Yarrowia lipolytica: one gene and its partners. The protein of the gene in region 3 binds, or shares a complex with, the protein of the main gene of each other region. Links are inferred from orthologs where the notes say so. Each region holds a gene or a part of one and is shown on either strand. Other genes may lie near its edges.

Region 1 (3,639 bases), on a different chromosome or scaffold from region 3:
CAACCTCTGCAAACTCAACACACTGGGCAGTCCACTATGTCCAACTTTGATCACTCGGAGGACATGATTGACATTGAAATGTCGCTGAACCGATTGAAGAATTTGGATGCAGATCTCTACGAGTCCTTGTATACCATGTACGAGGAGATGACTGCCCTGTGCCACTTACCAGGCCAATCTGGCCTCTCAGAAGGCATCTCAAACAATTTAGTGGCTCTTTCCTCCTTCGTCAAGATCCTCGAGAAGAAACTAGAGATCCATGCCATCAAGAGAACCAACCGAAGAAGTGTCATTGGTGTTGTTAGTCCTCAGGGATACAGCTCTAGCAGCCCCTACCAGAGTCCCTACACCCAACAACAGATACCGCCGTCTCAACAACAGCAGTATGCTCCTCAATTCGTGCAGCCCCCCCCACAACATCCGACCACTCCCCGGATGCCCCGGTCGTCGTCGTTGAGATCTGTTACTCCAGCCACGCCCTCAGAACTCGGAACTCCTAGCTACGCTAGACGCCTTGCTGCCCACAATAGACGGCAGAAGAGCATGAGCATGAGCCCAGACTTTTAACGAAGGAGTAGTGGGTGCTTAAAACGAGATCAAGAGGTGATAAAAAAACGGGATTCTGGTATGCCTAGCCGTAGCTATCCAATGACGGCGTTCATACCAACATGTAGAATAATTTATTAGTAATGTACAACCACCTGGTGATTATAGACGGTTGTAGATGCAATTGAGATGTTTCAGCTGGAAGATATGAAACTGTTGCCCATTGGCATTCAGATCATGTCATCAACGTAACATATGAGTAAGTGATTAGGTCAAGGAAATCACACTGCTTCAGTACCGATATCTGACTATCCGAAAGGCTATTGATATTGTCAACATATCTAAACAGTCAAGCAAACATTTCCTTCGTCGTATTTCATGCTTTACATCTTGAAAGTACTCTGTCGTATCACAGCCGTACCATAAGGGCAACAACGACTACTACTCCAACTACGTTCCAGTTCTCCAGCCAGAAGAGCATCCAATACTCGTGGTTCGCACTCGTATTTTGTCTGGTTCAAAATGAGTTACTATATACACTTACTCAAGAGTAATCTTGGCGCCGAGATCCTCAAGCACCTTTTTGATCTTGTCGGCATCCTCCTTGGGGACGGACTCCTTGACCATCTTGGGGGCGGCGTCAACAATCTTCTTGGCGTCGACCAGAGACAGACCGAGCAGGGTCTTGATCTCCTTGATCACCTTAGGCTTGGCCTTGGCATCGTATGACTCCAGCTTGATGTTGAAGATGGTCTTCTCCTCGACGGGCTCGGGGGCGGCCTCCTCGGCAGCAGCGGCAGGTGCAGCGGCGGGGGCGGCTCCGGCGGCGGGGAAAGAGATATCGGGAATGTTGAGTCGGCTCTTGAGCTCGGTCACCAGAGACGAGGTTTCCAGCAGGTTGAGCTGGGCAATCTGGTCGACAATAGCGGTGATCTTGGGGTCCACGGGGGCGGCGGTGGAGTTGAATCTGTGTTAGTTGGAGCTGGGTGGGTTTTTTTGAAGCGTTTCGTCTTCAGATCAGTGCTTTTGTGAGTTGATGACATGATCTGGCTGGTGATCTGGCTTGATTTCAATGTCGAGAAAAACAATCAAGGAGTGAATCTCGCAATTAATACTCACCGAACACCAACTCGAGCCACACGGGCGACTCGAGCAACTCGAAGAGACATTCGAAGAGCAGACATTGTGCGGTTGTATGGGGTTGAGATGGACTCAGTGTAGACGCTGCTGTAGGTGAGTTTTCAAATTTTCAGGGTGCGTGACGGAGGGTTACCCGGCCTTGCTCTTGTACTGTGGTGTCCCAAACCTCCCAATCACTATACTTGTAGTCAGAGGGAGGGGGATTAGAGACGGGAAGAATAGACTCGTGCGCACATTTAGAGTTTGCCATAGAGCTGCAGAACACCATCTTCACTGGGCTTTGAAAAACACACAGCAGACGACAGCTCAGTGTGTGGAACAAGACGGAACCAAAATGACGTCGCGATTTTGTCTCGAGTGGTGAGTGATCAGAGAGAACTAGATAACGAGAGGACGAGAAATGATCGAGGACCAGCGCTAACCCAGCAACAACATGCTCTATCCGAGAGAGGATAAGGAGGATAGAAAGCTGCTGTTTGCATGCCGAAACTGTCCGTACACGGAGTTTGCATCCACTCCTCTGGTGTTCAAGCATCAGCTGATCACCAACATTGAGGAGACGGCCGGAGTGACAACCGGTATTGGAGCAGATCCCACTCTGCCTCGATCCGACAAGGAGTGTCCCAAGTGTCACGAGCACGATGTGGTCTTCTTCCAGTCGCAACAGAAGCGTGCGGAGACCACCATGATTCTGTTTTTTGTCTGCAACAACTGCAACAACATTTTCCGGTCTTAGAGGGGATTATTCGAGGGTTGTATATTATTGGTTCGTTAATGGATTATTTATGTTTTGACGTGAGCATCTGTGTGGAGGCGTAGGCGGTGGAGGGATAGGTGGCGGAGACCAAGTTGAGCTGTAACACAGGGGATTGGGAAGGGCGTGTGAGACTTTGTCTCATAAAATGGAGGAGGTCTGACGTTGGTTGGTATGGGGTGGAGATGACATTTTGAGGGCATACGACGATAGCTATGAGATTCTCTACTTGATCAAACACCGTCTTCTAGAACGGAACCTCAAGTTGATACAAACAAGAGTTGCTCCTTATCTCGAAATAGCACTTTGACATGTTATTTCTGGATGGCTGAATCTATGATGGAGTACAATAGTGACGAAGTAAGATAGTGATGAAGTATGGAGGCAAGCTCTATCCCCACAGAACAAGTACATACGGTACAAGTATTCGTACGAGTGCTGTAACTACATCTGTGACAACATTCATTCATTATCTATAATCATCGATAAATTACTTTCTTGGGCTTACTTGTACTCGCACTACAACCACTCCTTGTTTCCAAGCTACCCATCCCACACTACAGCTTGTGAATACCAAACATTTAAATACTATATACAAGCCATGGTTACGGTACGGGTACGGTAAGCACAGATTACAAGACTCGGGGAGCCAGAGAAGCGACCTTGGTGAAGCCTCGCTCTCGCACCTCCTTGGCAACGACTCCGTTGAGTCGGTTACCCACGGGCTCGTTGGCGTCGTTGATCAGCACACAGGCGTTGTCATCAAACTGGATGTAGGAGCCGTCGGGTCGTCGGATCTCCTTCTTGGTTCGCACAATGACAGCCCGCTTGATTTCACCCTTTCGGGCCTTCTGGGTGATGGAAGAGCCGTTAGGAATGGGTCGGGCCCGCTTGACGACACAAACAATCTTGTCGCCGACACCGGCGTAGTTCTTGGGTGACTTTCGCAGCACCTTGATGCACTCGACCAGCAGAGCACCAGAGTTGTCGATGCAGTTGATCAGAGACTTGAGGTACAACATGGTGAGTGAGGTTGTGTGTAGTTGTGTTAGATCCTAACTGAGATGTTGAAATCTGGGTGAAAAGTTGGATTCTCGAAACCTTAAATGACAGTGTGTATGAGCAGAGCATATGACTAAGGAGGGCGACAATTAGCGGAGCCCTGGAAGAGGATTAGGTCATGTGAGTTTTTTCCAGGT
Region 2 (4,039 bases), on a different chromosome or scaffold from region 3:
TCAACGGAGAAGTGGCTGAACCAGCACCCAGCACAAACATCGGAGGACGTCAGAATGGAGGAAAGGACTCGCAAAGATCGCGAGGGGCACCCAAGATCGCCATTGGTGCAATGGAAGCGTTTGGAAACCCCATTGCTGCATACAAGGAATCTCCCTACGAAATTTTCGCGGCAACTTGGACAAACACAACTGCTGTCATGGCCATTACAATGGGAATTGGTGTGGTGAAGCTGCTCAAGCTGAATCTCCAGACTGCTGCTACTTCTGAAGAGGTCGAAAAGGTGGTTACTTCTTCCCAATCATTAAGCACGTCTAATGTGACCACTCTGTTTGAGCTTCTAGGACACACAACAGCCGCGAACTGTGTCAAACCTGATCCTCAAGGCCGTTATATTGCTGTGGGTGGCAATGAAGGCATTGTTTCGTTGTGGGATACCAAAGAGTTGGTATGTGTCAAGACACTGTCCAAGCACGACCAACCGGTCGTTTCTCTCGATTTTTCGCATGATGGAGACTACATTGCCGTCGGGTATGACAACAACGATATCCCTGTGGACATTGTACATGTGGACACTGGAAAATTTGTGCATGCTGTTTCTCGTCCGAGATGGACAGGGCTCCCAGTGGTGGCATGGAGCCCGGTGAAGTACAACCTGGCATTTTCTGGGGACGTTGCGGGTCTGAATGTGATTACTGTAGGAGGTAATAGGCCGAGTGGTTACTAGATGCCGAAATCGGGCTGGCATGTGCGACAAGAATCCTCTAGTCATTAAAGCCAGATTTGAAAGAGAGGATGACACCGGAGCAACCAGCGAGCCCTCATACTGACAGATACTGATTAGCTATCGGAGCGTGCGACAGTCACTGGATTTCCCACACCCTCGTCTGCAGCACAGAATATAAAACCAGTACAAGTACAAGTATAGGTACAAGTACAAGTGTATGTAGTATAATATTAGAACCGGATTGCATTCACTAAAACACCACAGCTAGCTACGGTATATGTTACAGTCATAATGTACCAACATACACTACAAGTACTCGTACACTCATTCAATCACTCAATCATCATCCCCCTATATACACATATATACATTAGTCTTTTCCTCGTGTGCGGTCTCAGTTGGTCGGTCGACAGATGCAGTTTAAACCGAGTTGAGAAGAGGATGCAGCTGCTGGTAGTACTGGTCGTCGACCTTAGCCTGGATCTCCTCCTTGGTGAGCCACGCAAAGTCCTGCACGTCCCGGCTGGGCTTGAACTCGCCCTGGACAATGTGTGACTTGACGTAGAACTCTCGCTTGTCGCCGTTCTTGAAGAAGCCCGCGGGGGTGTGCGACACGTTCCAGATGTTCATGTCGGGGCCTCCGAGCTCGTGGATGCCTCGCTTGGCGGCCTCATCGATGGTCTCCTTCTCGTTGATAACGACCGAGGGGAATCGCCAGCCGTTCTTGGTCTGGGCCAGTAGGTACAGGGTTCGGTCCAGCTTTCGCTCCAGTGACTTGACGTCGTTCTGCTTGTCGGCCTCAGTGATTCGGGAGTTGGGCTTGATCACATCCTCCTCGCCCTCCTCGGTGCCCTTCTTGGCGCCTCGAGAGCCCTCATTGTCCTTGGTGGGCACGGCGATCTTCTGGGGCATTGTTCGCTCTCGGTGATTCACCACATCGGGAATACCCTCGGGGTACACTACTCCGTCTCGGGCCTGGGTGGGGATCTTGTTCAGCTCTCTGTACTTTCGCTCAGCAAGAGTACCTCGCTTGAAGTAAAGAAACGAGGGGAAGGTCCACATCATTCGGCGCTTGAGACCATCCATGTACTCGTAGTACTGCTTGGCAAAGGGAGTGGGCTCGGAGGTGACGATGGGGATTCGAGACAGAATCATGCCTCCGGAAATGTTGGCCCGGGTCTCGGCAGTCAGACGTCCGGCCTTCTTGCCGGAGGTCTCTGCAACAGCCTCCTTGGCGGCGTTCCACGCCGTGCTTTTTGTCGAAAAAGCCCGAATCATCTTGAGTATGGCGGGTGAGATATATCGTGACAGCGTATGCAGTGCAAACTTTTGGCGGTTGAAATTTCACAAGGTTAGGGTAGGAGGAGAACGATGCGACAATGTGGTATAAAATGAAGGAGGGAAAATGTGAGTGTGATGTGGTATTGGGCATATCACACATAGTGTAGAATATTCCGTTTTTTAGAAATAGTGTATTGAGAATAACAGCGGTCCAGTGGTCTTATGATTATGTAACGAGTACAACGATCGTACCTCGTCAGCGTTGTATAGTCAGCTGAGCACTAAGTGAGCCATGCAACAACACACGATATTTGTATAGGTAATAAGTGGATCTGAAAGAGATTTTAACATAGAGACTCAGATTGGATACAACATTTCATTACTGTTTCTTCCAATCTGACACCTCCATTACTGCCAGTATGTCATACACTTATTTACACTCAATCACATCACACCTCCGCGTATAAACTTTTGGGTGCGCTTTCGACATCTAGATCATCAACACCAACTAGAAGGACACGATGTTCGGTCTATTTCTTTCCGCAGAGCTCCAGGGAGTCACAGAGTTGGGACCCACGCTACCCTACGAGTTCTCCTTCAAAATTGAGTGCAATTCGTGCCATGAGGTCCACGAAAACTGGGTCACCATGAACGCCCAGGACAAGAGCGACATCAGCGGCAGTCGAGGAGACGCCAACTTCGTCTTCAAGTGCCGCTTCTGCAAGCGAGAGTCGTCTGCCACCCTCACCGAGACAGGCAAAACTCTCAACGCCGACGATAAGAAGCCCGCCGAGATTCTGCAGATCGACTGTCGAGGTCTCGAGCTCAAGGAGTTCCGAGCCGACGGTGACTTCCAGTGCAAGGGCGAGTCTGGCACACCTTTCAAGGAGATGGATCTATCCGAGGGCGAGTGGTTTGACTACGACGAGAAGAACAGTGAGGAGGTGTCCGTCACTGATGTTAAGTGGGATATCAAGCGGGTGTAGTTATGACAGGGTAGAACGCGAGGTATAGATTGATAGATGGTGTTTGGACGCTGGCTGTAGAGTAGATGATGTTTGGTTGTGTAGAGACTTAAAAACTGTACTTGCAAACGAAAAAGGGTAGCTGATATATACGTACTACAAGTAGAATGCAACCTCCAAGGTGTCGATGGAATCTACCTTTGGAGCTCTCGATCTATGGGAAGATGTATGTATTGGACCTGTAATAAAATCATACACGCCAGAGACGATACTTGTACTGGATACTGGTTCATACGATACAACTGCTTACACTCATAAGACAGCAATAGCTTTAAGACACACACATTCACAGAAAGTAGTTAAGGGATAGATTACTATAGCTAAGGTTAGTAGGGAACAACAAAGACAAGAGATGCCATGTTTAAAATCAGGCGACACGAATCGTCATATCCTGGAAACCTATTTTCTTGATTGCGGAATCCAGTTCAGGGGATTGACAGAAGTTTTTCATCCTTAAAGGTGTTGCAAACACAGTGGAACATACCTGAAGTTAGTAAGAGAAGTCGAGACATGTAAAAGATGCCACAAACAAAGCAAACGTCAGTGCTTCTTAGAGGATTGGGATTAATCAGGGAAGGGAAATGCCTTCTCACCCTACTTTGCATCATCTTCCGAACGCGTTCGTGGCCTCCAACATCATCAAAAACGTACCATTTGAGAAAGGGTGGTGTCTTTCAGTCGAAGAGAAAGACACCTTGGAAACCGACAAAAAGACCGATTAACGAGATGACACTTCAGGTAGCGCCAGCTAACCTCCGTGTCACTTTATTACTCGGAGATTCCGTCGTTTTCCGCTCCAAAAAGTGTGGAGTGAAGAAAGTCAGATCAAGACAGCACAGATTTTTATGTACCTTCTACCGGGTAATTTAGTAGTTAGGGTTGCCAACTTAGAGTTTCACAGATGTGCTACAGTGCAAACTACTATCGAGTCGGAGCGAGATCTCTAGAGAGTTGTTAAAGGCAATGGATGTATGAATTAAAGAGGGGGGACAATTATGAAGTATATAA
Region 3 (4,615 bases):
ATATGAATTACATATTATGGCAACCTGGTGATGTAGATCGCCCTGTTCAAGATTAGCTACTCGCAAATTGGGCAGTTTGAGGTTGACTTCAGACTGGGAAGGTAAGGGTCAGACCGGGCGACGCGAGACCGTATTACGTGAAAGTCTGAGGGGACAACATGTTTGGGCGGTAGTTCATTTTCTACAAGTATTTACCAATACGTTACAAGCACGTTACTCATATAGAATGTGCTGTAGTTAGCAAGTCTACGGCTGTTATTGTTTCTGAGACAGAGGCTTTGACTACTAATGAGTTAGACAGAGGTCCAAGACGAAGACTTATGAGTGTCTAAGCTCATATTTCTTTGCTGGGCTGTTGGGTAGCCTCTTACATAAGCAGTTTTGAAGTTGAGAGGTGAGGGATGGAGTCTGGAGGGCGTGGTCGTAGTCCACTTCTTATAGTTGGAATTCCCGATGGTAGTTGAGGAGTAACTACTATACAATAATGAAAAGTACGTGAAAAAAGTAGGAAGATTTGGCCGGACTTGGAATTTAGTAAGATGGATTAGAGATAAACGATATCTGAGAATTTAGTCATTCTACTTGCTCCACTATCAGATAGACCACTGCTTACACCCTCATACTCGAGACAAGGCATGTGCATGAGCTCATCACTCTACAAGTTCTGTACTACTTGTACTTCATTCTCGAGTGCATCGAAGGGTTGACGAAGAGACACCTATGAAGACACACTTTAGACTGGTTTACCTACTATGCACCCACTACAAGTAGTAACTTGTTACTGTACGCTTTTTCGATACAAGTATCCTTCCTTTACTAGACTACACGGCCGCGGGCGATTTGTAGTCCAGAGATCATAAAAAAGCCTACGATCAAGATGTCTCTATTTCATTACGATAAATAGGTCCGGAGAACTCGTGGTTTCGTGGTTTCGTGGTCTCGCGGTCCGCGACAACGAGGTTACTTGACGACGTCAGGCCATCAGGTCTAGAGCGTACTCACGGCCTACATACGCTCTTCAAGTCAGAAAATTGCTATCATGCTACTATATACACTATTTATACTTGAGGCCCTTGACTCGGTCATGCTGGCCCACCTGGGCGTCAGCGTGCTTCTGCATGACGTTGCCAATGAAGGCCTCCATCTCAGCAGTGAGCTTGTTCTCAGGCTTCTTGTGCTGGGGTCGAGCGAAAAGCTCGGGGGTGCCCTTGGGGATGAAGGGCTTGGGGGCTGTGAGGAGATCGACCTCTCGCTCGGAGAATCGCTTGAATCGCTTGTGGTGCACGTTTCGAATGTCGGGCAGAGCTCCGATGGGGAAAGGAGGCTTGACCAGAGAAGTGACCCAGTGGGTTCGTTCTCGAGCCACATCTCGCTCGGTAGAGCCCTCCACATGCTCGACAGGCTCGAGAGGAGCGGGCCATGGCACCTGGGTCTTGTGATCGTGGGCCATGACTCGTCGGGGGAGCACTCGCTTGTAGGCAGGGTCGTAGTAGGTTCCCACGCACTCCACGGCAGCAATAGCAACCTCGGTGGTGGTACCGTCCTCCTCAGGTCGCTGGGCCACCAGACGCAGCTCCGACTGCTTCAGAGGGTTGGGGAACTCGATCACGTGGGTGGTCTGTCCTTCCTGGGCCATAGCAGGAGGAATTGGGAAGGTCTGAGTACCGTTGACTCCATCAACCAGGTAAGAGTTTCCCTCCTCGTGTCGAGCCATGATCTGAGACACCTTGCCCTTGTCGGGGCCAGCCAGGATCTGGACCTTGTCGCCGGGCATAAAGTGCCATTGGCTCTCCTTGGTGAATCGCTCCCACTCGGGAACGGCATGGCTGGCCAGAACCTGCTGGAACTTGGGGGCCTTTTTGAGAGTGGCCCGCTGGATCCGATCCACACGGACCCGAGGGTAGATGGTCTTGGGGTCGTGGATGAACCTCGATTTCAGTACCGTCCGCGTAGGTCTCATTGTGTGAGGGTGGTGGTTTGTATGAGTTCTGATGAAAATGAAAATTTCAGGCCCTTGCCCTGTTGGGAGGGTTCGAGAGAAATGAACATCAGATCGATTTCATTGGCGCACAGAGAGAGCTGAGAAAAAGGAAGTAGGTGGGAAATATAGAGCGGGTTATTTCACATTGATTTACGGATTTTCATACACTCTGGAGTCTTGATTTTGTGGTCATCGTTGCCGTCGAAAATTTGACGTCACGTGCACTTTTTACCTCTCCCAAACTCTATTTATGTCACCGAAGATATCACTGGGACTTGTCATGTTTGCTTATGTAAGAAGACTGACAAAAACCAAGGATACCACCAAACTACTTCTACAGTACTTGTAGGTCGATCATAAAGATCAGCAATAGACATAAAGGATGCTTCAAATACGGTATATGGCATTAGACTTAATTAATACGTTAAACACATGTACATCCACACAATTCCACCAGCTGTGGATGATAAAAATACATTAGATTAAATAAGCTAGTTTTCGGTACAAATGGCGATGAATTCCTCGAGATTGACTGTGTTAGTAGACTTCTTCTTTGTGATGCTCCATCAGCTCTCTTTCACTCATACTCACTTCCTCCATCCTGGTCAAGGTCAAACTCCTCAATCATGGCCTGCAGTTCACTCTCGTCGATATTTTCGTTGAGTTCTCGGGCCACCTTTCGCAGGTTTTTGATAGTGATAATACCGGTGTTGTCCTCGTCAAACAGCTGGAAGGCCCGCTTGACCTCCTCCAGCGGGTCTCGGTCCAGAATCATCTGTGTCATAACCTGCTCAAACGCCTCCCACGTCATCACGCCCTGCTGTGTCGTGTCGTTCTCGTCCAGAATCTGCAGCACCTCAGCCTTCTTGAGCTCGAAGCCGAGTGCTCGCATGGCTGCTCTGAGGGTATGAAAGTCCAGAGCTCGGTTCTGATGGGCATCGAACAGGTCGAAGGCCTCCTGGATCTCTTGTCGTTGATCCGCAGATAATTCTCGCTTGGTGGCAGCCACGCCCCGAGAGGGGAACGCCGTCTGTTTTCGTCGTGCCGACTGCATTATGGTGATTGTGGGGGTTGTGTTTGTACTGTGGTGATAGGTTGTGGGAATAAACGAGACGCGTTTTAGCCTAAACTCGTTGTGCATTGTCTACGCATACATGTATTGTAATGTAGGTTGGTGGATGGGATTTGTTTATAGATGGCGAATGCAGAATAATCATATCTACAAGTAGCAAAAGTGAGGTCCTGAAGAGTCGATTTGGAAGTTGATATGGGCGAGAAAACTACATAGAATTTAGTACGCCAAAATCACGTGTCGGGCCGTTATTTTATAGGGTGTTATAGCTACCAGAAGTACTTAACTATGCTAACTAACTAACTAACAAATTTAGGATATTTCATTTACCGTCGGCATGCAGTCCGAATATCTACCTCCACGACACTGCGACACATCACGAGCACCACTGCTACTGTACGATACTTGCACACATGAAAGTCGGAGATCGCGTGCGGGTCAAGGGAGTGCCGGCGCACGTCCGATTCATCGGACCCACTCAGTTCTCCACGGGAGAGTGGATTGGAGTGGAAATGGTTGAGGGACAGGGAAACAATGACGGCAGCGTCCAGGGAGTTCGGTACTTTGAATGCAAAGGAACATCGGGAAAGTTTGTGAGACGACCACAAGTGGAGACAGACGCAGACCTCATGCCGCCTCCAGAGGTGCCTAGACCGTCTCAACGACCCCAGTCGGCCATGTCAGACGTCTCAGACTCGTCTACAGCTTTGGCCAAGCAGGTGGAGAGTCTCAAGGCCAAGCTACGTGTCACAGATAGCAAAAGAAAGCTTGAGCGAGAACAAATTCAGCAACTTCAGACAGATTTGCGTGAAAAAAAGAAACTCGAGACAATTGTCGCCAAGCTGGAGAGTAAACTGCGTCCCCTGAGTGACGAGGTCAAGCAGCTACGCGCCGATCTCACCAAGACTTCCAATGAACATGCCCATGCCAAGGTGAAGCTGGAACAGCACGAAGACGCTTTGGAGATGGCTACTCTTGACAGAGAAATGGCAGAAGAAAAGCTGGAGATTGCCAAACGAGAAATGGAGGAACTGCGACAAGAGCTCAACGTGCCTTCGGAGAGAATCGACTCAGCTGATGAGGCTGCCATTCAACGAAACGCCCAGCTTGAAGCGGCTCTTGTGAGTCTACGAGACTACTCTACGGCTCAGGAGGCATCTCTCAATGAACAGATCAAGCAACTGAACTCCAAACTTACAGACTATTCATTGACTCAATCGCAGCTGGAAAGCTCTGAGAAGCGGCTTGAGGAAACCCAGGCTACCCTACATGAACTGAGAGCCCAGCTGGATGATGTCATGGTGTCCGAGACGCTGATCGATTCTCTGACGGAGAAAAACCTGGCTCTTACAGAGTCAGTGGAGAAGCTGCAGGCTACAGTGGCCGAGCTGGAGGAGCTTAAGGAGCTGAATGATGAGTTAGAGGCAGGTCACGTAGCCACACAGAAGCAACTTCACCAGGAAATCGCCTATCTGGAATCTGAGCTGAATCACGCCGAGAAACGAACCAACGATGCACATAATCGCCAACAGAACCTTGAACAGAGCGTCATGAGATTTCGA

The links.
Region 1: YALI1_A21565g (region 3) and YALI1_F23368g share a complex: the UniProt entries of both Saccharomyces cerevisiae proteins name them as parts of the mitochondrial large ribosomal subunit. The link is inferred for Yarrowia lipolytica from reciprocal best matches to the Saccharomyces cerevisiae genes MRPL40 and MNP1.
Region 2: YALI1_A21565g (region 3) and YALI1_E29617g share a complex: the UniProt entries of both Saccharomyces cerevisiae proteins name them as parts of the mitochondrial large ribosomal subunit. The link is inferred for Yarrowia lipolytica from reciprocal best matches to the Saccharomyces cerevisiae genes MRPL40 and MRPL17.

The regions. Positions count from the first base shown.
Region 1 is NC_090775.1:2,334,946-2,338,584, reverse strand, and holds YALI1_F23368g (mitochondrial 54S ribosomal protein bL12m), read right to left. Parts: upstream 1,731-3,639; coding exon 1,666-1,730; intron 1,514-1,665; coding exon 1,087-1,513; downstream 1-1,086. Other genes in the region: YALI1_F23391g (uncharacterized protein), read left to right, coding at 1-567; YALI1_F23364g (uncharacterized protein), read left to right, coding at 2,021-2,046, 2,113-2,422; YALI1_F23351g (mitochondrial 54S ribosomal protein uL14m), read right to left, coding at 3,073-3,462. UniProt on the Saccharomyces cerevisiae protein: Component of the mitochondrial ribosome (mitoribosome), a dedicated translation machinery responsible for the synthesis of mitochondrial genome-encoded proteins, including at least some of the essential transmembrane subunits of the mitochondrial respiratory chain.
Region 2 is NC_090774.1:2,959,645-2,963,683, reverse strand, and holds YALI1_E29617g (mitochondrial 54S ribosomal protein mL46), read right to left. Parts: upstream 2,004-4,039; coding exon 1,146-2,003; downstream 1-1,145. Other genes in the region: YALI1_E29642g (uncharacterized protein), read left to right, coding at 1-725; YALI1_E29611g (uncharacterized protein), read left to right, coding at 2,528-2,992. UniProt on the Saccharomyces cerevisiae protein: Component of the mitochondrial ribosome (mitoribosome), a dedicated translation machinery responsible for the synthesis of mitochondrial genome-encoded proteins, including at least some of the essential transmembrane subunits of the mitochondrial respiratory chain.
Region 3 is NC_090770.1:2,153,849-2,158,463, reverse strand, and holds YALI1_A21565g (mitochondrial 54S ribosomal protein uL24m), read right to left. Parts: upstream 1,961-4,615; coding exon 1,055-1,960; downstream 1-1,054. Other genes in the region: YALI1_A21554g (uncharacterized protein), read right to left, coding at 2,473-2,513, 2,573-3,122; YALI1_A21550g (uncharacterized protein), read left to right, coding at 3,467-4,615. UniProt on the Saccharomyces cerevisiae protein: Component of the mitochondrial ribosome (mitoribosome), a dedicated translation machinery responsible for the synthesis of mitochondrial genome-encoded proteins, including at least some of the essential transmembrane subunits of the mitochondrial respiratory chain.